Macaca mulatta: one gene and its partner. The protein of the gene in region 1 interacts with the protein of each later gene in a biochemical or structural test. Links are inferred from orthologs where the notes say so. Each region holds a gene or a part of one and is shown on either strand. Other genes may lie near its edges.

The links.
Region 2: the proteins of LRRK1 (region 1) and BAG3 form a complex in vitro, tested with the Homo sapiens proteins (2 studies listed by BioGRID and IntAct, with this or other methods). The link is inferred for Macaca mulatta from reciprocal best matches to the Homo sapiens genes LRRK1 and BAG3.

Annotation. Positions count from the first base shown.
Region 1 is NC_133412.1:91,426,292-91,429,806, forward strand, and holds part of LRRK1 (leucine-rich repeat serine/threonine-protein kinase 1), read left to right. Parts: intron 1-515; coding exon 516-710; intron 711-1,649; coding exon 1,650-1,801; intron 1,802-3,515.
Region 2 is NC_133414.1:131,769,930-131,773,444, forward strand, and holds part of BAG3 (BAG family molecular chaperone regulator 3), read left to right. Parts: intron 1-1,012; coding exon 1,013-1,414; intron 1,415-3,515. UniProt on the Homo sapiens protein: Co-chaperone and adapter protein that connects different classes of molecular chaperones including heat shock proteins 70 (HSP70s), e.g. HSPA1A/HSP70 or HSPA8/HSC70, and small heat shock proteins (sHSPs), e.g. HSPB8.

The sequences.
Region 1 (3,515 bases):
CTCCTTGGAGTCCTTAATCAGTGACTAACAGCAAGTTCTCAGTATGTTTTATTGGACGGAAGGAAGGATGGATGGATGGATGGATGGATGGATGGATGGATGGATGGATGGATGGGACAATGGGCAAATGGACGATATGGTGGGAAGTCAGATGGATGGGTGGATGGAAAAGAGGAAGGATAGGAAGATAGATGGATAAATGTGCAGGACAGGTGGTCAGATGGATGGACAGATGAGAAGAATGGATAAATGTACAGGAAGACAAGCAAATGGATGGATGGATGGATGGAAAGAAGAAAGGGTAAGAAAATGGAGAGATAAATGGATAGAAGAGAAAGTGGTCAGATGGGTGGATGGATGGGTAGTTGGGAGGATGGATGGATAAATGGACAGAGGGACATGGTCAGGTGGTTGGTTGAATGTTTGTTTTCCTTGTCTAATTGTCAACCTCAGGGCCAACTAGTGAAGGCCACTGGGCCCAGGCAGGGACCTGACTTGGCTTATTCTGTGCCCAGGTAGATATGTTCTCCTATGGAATGGTGCTCTACGAGTTGCTGTCAGGACAGCGACCTGCACTGGGCCACCACCAGCTCCAGATTGCCAAGAAACTGTCCAAGGGCATCCGCCCAGTTCTGGGGCAGCCGGAGGAAGTGCAGTTCCATCGATTGCAGGCACTCATGATGGAGTGCTGGGACACTAAGCCAGAGAAGGTACTTGGGAGCACAAAGCCCAGGGCCCTGGGACCTCCTGCCATGTGGCAGAAGCTGTGGGTCCCCAGAGTATGTGTGTGTGGCTGCCCACCCGTCACAATTGGCGACCCTTCTCTGCTCATTTCTTCTAGAGGGTGATATTTGCTGCTTCTAACATATCTACTTTCATTTTCTTTGTGTGTGCATGTCACTCTTAGGAAACAAACTTCCTTTTCCTCCCCAACTTTTGTGTTACTTCACCATGCAAACAAAGTATATCAGCCCCTTTATAACAATACAGTCCCTGTGCAAGAACAGAGAGAATGTGGGTATCTCTTTCTAAAGTAACGGGGAAAAGGTTTGGTTGTGAGAATCAGAGATCATATTATAGTGTTAAGGCTAGTTTTTTGTTGGTGGTGTTTTTGTGTTTTTGGAAGAGGCTAGTAGTTTCAAGGTTAAAACTCATTTATTAAATCAAACGAGCTAGTTTAATGTATTGAGAGTAAACAGGATATTCTTTAGAAGAATGCATGTCTTTATCTGGGCATGGTGACATGGACTTATAGTCCCAGCCACTGGGGAGGCTGAGGCAGGAGGATCACTTGAGCCCAGGAGTTCAAGGCTGTGGTGCACTATGATTGCACCTGTGAGTAGGTTCTGCACTCCAGCTTGGGCAATATAGTGAGATGAAGAGTGTATGTCCTTGGCCTGGGTTGGAATACCTGGGGTTCAGCTAACCTGACCAGATGAGTTTAAATTGCCATAGCCAAGGGTGACCCAGATATCTGGATGGGTTTGCTCCTGACATCTGAAGCTGTTTTAGCCTCTTGTTTGGATCCAATCTGAACGAACAGAATCCCTCATTTCTCCCTGGTTGAAGCTGGCTGACCTCATGGGCAGAATTGGCACCAATCTGGTTGTAAGTGACCTTGCTCCCTTCTGGTGGCTCCTCTCCCTCAGCGACCGCTGGCCCTGTCGGTTGTGAGCCAGATGAAGGACCCGACCTTTGCCATCTTCATGTATGAGCTGCACTGTGGAAAGCAGACAGCTTTCTTCTCGTCCCAGGGCCAGGAGTACACCGTGGTGTTTTGGGACGGAAAAGAGGAGTCCAGGTAAGCTCCTATGGCCTGCCCTGCCCTCTTTGAATTTGGGGTGGGAGGCCACTGTGGAATTTGGGAACAGAGTCCATGTTGACCACAATGAGAATTATTTAGCAGACAGTAGGGTCCAGAACCTGGTTAGACTGCACTCAAGAAAGAGCAGGGAGAGCAGAAGAAAGTCCACACAAACAGACGTGCATGTATGGTTTTGTGGTTAAGAGACAACAGAAATGAGTAGTATCTGCCAGGGTGTCTGGGGACATGAGGGCACTGTGGCATGTGCCTACAGTCCTAGCCACTCAAGAGGCTGAGGCAGGAGAATCCCCTGAGCCCAGGAGTTCAAGTTTAGCCTGAATGACATAGCAAGACCCCATCTTTTAAAAAATTAGAAAATTTAAAAACATTTTTTAAAAGGAAATGAGACCTGTCAGCCTGGTTATGTGACTTTCTCAAGAATGTTCTGCTGCCCCAGATTGCAGAAGGGGCAACAGGGTGGGTTTAAACAAAGTTGGGGTTTTGCCAGGAGGGAGAGAGGGGCAGGGGCGGGGTGTTTTCAAGGGAGTGATACAGAGATGGACCAAGGCACCTACGTGAGGCCATAAATTCAGGGAGCACAACGGAAAGTACCAAAGGATCCTAGGTATTGCTAGAGTTAAAAAAAAATTTTTTTTAAACCTCAAGAGTTATGGTATTAGGTGGGGTGAGCTGAAAAAGTAGGAGGTGGCCGTCAGAAAAGACATGCTTGCCATGGGGTGGGTGGGAGGCACCCAGTCAGTAGTAAAGACAGCATCTGGAGTATGACCTTTGCAGAGGGTGCCTGGGGTAGAGTGGGGGAATATCACTGAGCTTGAGACATAATAAGATAAATGGAACAGACTTTGCAGTTTCTCTTAGGTCAGTCTTCGTGAGTTTGCATCAGATTTTATGCCATTAGGACTGAGTGTTGTGACACAGATGCACTCTAAGAAATGATGGTGTAAAAAAGTTTTTCTGACCAGGCCTTGTGGCTCATGCCTGTAACCCCAGCACTTTAGGAGGCCGAGGCAGGTGGATCATTTGAGTTCAGGAGTTTGAGACTGGTCTAGGAAACATGGTGAAACCTTGTCTCTACAAAAATAAATAAATAAATAAAAACATAACAAAACTTAGCTGGGAATGGTGGCGAGCACTTGTAGTCCCAGCTACTCAGGAGGCTGAAGCAGAAGGATTGCTTGAACCCAGGAGTCTGACAAGCAGAAGGATTGCTTGAACCCAGTGGGTGGTGACTGTGCCACTGCACTCCAGCCTGGGTGACAGAGTGAGACCCTGCCTCAGAAAAAAGAGAAGTTATTCTAAAACACAGCAATGGAGCATGCCTTCCTGATGGGATGTACTCTAAGGACAAAACAAAAAGCAAACATATTAATTAAACAGGTTTCAGTAATTATATTGTTGGTAGTACTGTTGTGATTGTTATTCTAAGATGCTGCTTGTGGTTGTGGAGTAAGTTAATGAGTAATTATATTGCTGTTGCTGGAAACCGTGATTTTCAGCATGGGCTAAAAGAGAAAGAGTTGTAAAGTAGGGTAAGTAAAAGCTTGCAGTTCTGAATTGATTGGATGGACTCGTGATATAGTTGAAAAAAAAATAAACACAAATTTCTCAGCTCTGCTCACTGAAAAGGCCTAAAAACAAGGACCAACCAAATGCCAGTGTGCATCCCTAGGACCTAGACTGTGCTCTCTAA
Region 2 (3,515 bases), on another chromosome or scaffold:
CAAAGAAAGGGTAATGAGGACAACACATCCCCTGTATGAGCGCTTCCTGTGTGCTGGCCTGGGGCTGAGGCACATGCCCAGGTGACTGACGTCATCTTCAGAGCAGCCCGGTGAGGGAGGGGGTGCTCTTCCTATATTTTGTTTTTTTGTTTGTTTGTTTTTGTTTTGAGACGGAGTCTCGCTCTGTTGCCCAGGCTGGAGTGCAGTGGCACGATCTCGACTCACTGCAAATTCCATCTCCCAGGTTCAGCCATTCTCCTGCCTCAGCCTCCCAAGTAGCTGGGACGACAGACGTGCACTACCACCCCCGGCTAATTTTTTGTATTTTTAGTAGAGATGAGATTTCACTGTGTTAGGCAGGATGGTCTTTATCTCCTGACCTTGTGATCCTCCCACCTCGGCCTCCCAAAGTGCTGGGATTACAGGCGTGAGCCACTGCGCCCAGCCCACTCTTCCTATATTTTGAATGAAGCTTAGAAAATGATTGAATTACTAGGAATTTGAACCTAGGCCCCTTGACTCCAAAGCCTTCAGTCTTTGTTTTGTGTGTGTGGTTTTTTTTTTTTTGAAATGGAGTCTCTCTGTCGCCCAGACTGGAGTGCAGTGGTGCGATCTCAGCTCACTGCAACCTCTGCCTCCTGGGTTCAAGCAATTCTCCTGCCTCAGCCTCCTGAGTAGCTGGGACTACAGGTGCCCACCACCACGCCCGGCTAATTTTTGTATTTTTAGTAGAGATGGGGTTTCACCATGTTGACCAGGCTGGTCTTGAACTCCTGATCTCGGTTGTCTGCTCACCTAGGCCTCCCAAAGTGCTGGGATTACAGGCGCGAGCCATCGCGCCCAGCCCCAAAGCTCCCAGTCTTAACCCCACACTTTGAAAATTGAAAATTACAGATAGGAGGTCTTACGATATGGATTGCCCTGAGGAGGTGCACAGCAGAAGGCATGGTCAGGATGCCACGGCAGGGGGTTCATTCGTGGGGTCATGCCCTCTACCCTGTGTCTCTTGCAGCGGTCCCAGTCTCCAGCTGCCTCCGACTGCTCATCCTCATCCTCTTCGGCTAGCCTGCCTTCCTCCGGCAGGAGCAGCCTGGGCAGTCACCAGCTCCCACGGGGGTACATCTCCATTCCGGTGATACACGAGCAGAACGTTACCCGGCCAGCAGCCCAGCCCTCCTTCCACCAAGCCCAGAAGACGCACTACCCAGCGCAGCAGGGGGAGTACCAGACCCACCAGCCTGTATACCACAAGATCCAAGGGGATGACTGGGAGCCCCGGCCCCTGCGGGCAGCTTCCCCATTCAGGTCACCTGTCCAGAGTGCATCGAGCCGGGAGGGCTCACCAGCCAGGAGCAGCACGCCACTCCACTCCCCCTCGCCCATCCGTGTGCACACCGTGGTCGACAGGCCTCAGGTACGGGAAGTTAGTCGTCAGCAGACTGGTTATGGTGGTATGTCTCCAGGGCTACAGGAGCTCTGTGGGGTGCCCTGGGTTCCCCCTTTATCCCTGCCTATTTAACATGTGTGTACCTGGAGGGAAGTGAGATTTGAGAAACTGCTAGGTATTAACAGAAATTCAGGACAATTGCTCAGGCCCTCCGCACTCTGCAGCTTATGCTGGGCTGATCATTGTGCATTGCGGCTGACTTAGGGCAGAAGAAACAGCTTGGAAGAACTTACATAGCTGGGACCAGGTTCCTTAGTGCCCACCACACCCTTTCAGGGCTCTTCACACCCCCATCCACACTGCAGCCACAGCCTCATCTTGGGCGTAGGCAGCGCGTCACCTTCCGCTCAGTTACCCACTCCACTCTGCAGGCCCATTCTGCTCATTCCCACCCCTGTGCCTTTGCCCATGCTGAACCCGCTCCCTGAAATGCCTGCACAGTACAGGTTCTCTCCGTCCTCCGAGGGATGAGCCAGTTTTGTCTCCTCCATGAAGCCTACTCATCCTTCTCATCTCATGACTCCTCATATGAGTCCCTTAATGAGAGACTCCCAACTTGTATGAGTTCAACATGTGATTATTCTGGGTATTTCAGAAGTGTTCATTTTATCTCTTTAGCTTAGGGCTGAGCCTGACCACAGGGCCCATGTCTTAACGCCCCTCCTCCCTGTGTAATCAGGTACCATGTGGTCTGGCTGAGGCATCCGCCAGCTATGGTGGATTGGAAGCCGTGCTGGCCTGGGGAAGGTTGTAGGCAGGGGTCTGGTTATCTTCCAGTGGAGACACGAGGTGCAGGTTCCTGGAAGAGGATGTCATTTAGTGTGAGCAGCTTGCAGCCTAGCAGCAGAACAGTCAGCAGCCCTGGGCCCCCTGTGGCTGCAACTCCAGCAGCTGAATGCTACAGTTTTTAAAGAGGAAAACTCCTTGTGAACAAACATGGGTTATTCTTTTATTACAAATGGTCACACTGGCCAGGGCGCTGGAATAGAGCACCCTCCTCTTAAAAATTTTTTTTATTTGGAAATAATTTCAACCTGATAGAAGAGTTGTGTGAATCATACAGAGTCCCACATACACTTCATCCAGTTCACTGTTTGTCAACATGTCTGCATTCGTCTTGTCATTTCTTCTCTCTCTCGTATTAGTGATGTGTTTTAACTGTTTGAAAATTATTTGTAGATGTAATGTCCCTTTTCCCCTGAATAGCAAATATTTTCCTAAGAGGAAGACATTCTCATTCATAACCGTGGCAGACTTACAAGATTCAGGAAATTTAACATTCTTACAACATTATTATCCAGTGCACAGCCCATTTTCTAATCTTTTTTATAGCAGTTTGTCCCCACTTCCAGGATGTCTTCCAGGATTGAAACAAGGATCATGAGCACTGCATTTAGACGCAACTTCTCTTTAGTCTTCCCTCAGTCTGGGACAGTTCCTCGGCCTTTCTTGACTTTCACAGCCTTGATGTTTTTGAAAAGCACAGGCCGTGGAACACCCTCTCTAAAGTGTTTCTAAAGTCACTTCTTACACAGCCGTCTTGTTGTCAGAACCTGGGAGGGGTGCGTGGTTGGGTTGTGAGTGGTAAGGGCCAAAGCTGAGGATGTCTGGATTGGCGAAAGAGATTTGATGGAAAAGGAGGTTGCTGGGGTGTAGACAGCTACGTCTCACACCAGATCCATACTCGGATTCAGCAATCCTAGGAGGGGCCCATTTGTAGAGAGAGGGATATTTTATCCAAATCATTCCCATGTATTTCTCATAATCAGTGAAACACTATCTCATCCTGTTTTTACCCCCATTAACCATGTTTGTGGTAACTTCCCTTTTAGAGCTGATGCAAAGTTCCCTTTCGGGAGGCTTTCCAGGATTTCACCTCACTGAACATTATAGTGGAATTGAGTGTTGTAAACTGGGAATAGTTTAGAAATAATATAGTCTAGTTATTTCCCAGTTGATGAAATTAGGGTGAGATTTTAAAAAAGGTTTTAGATATTCACTTACATGAATAAGAGCCAAGATAAGGCCAAGCGCAGTGGCTCACACCTGTAATCCTAGCACTTTGGGA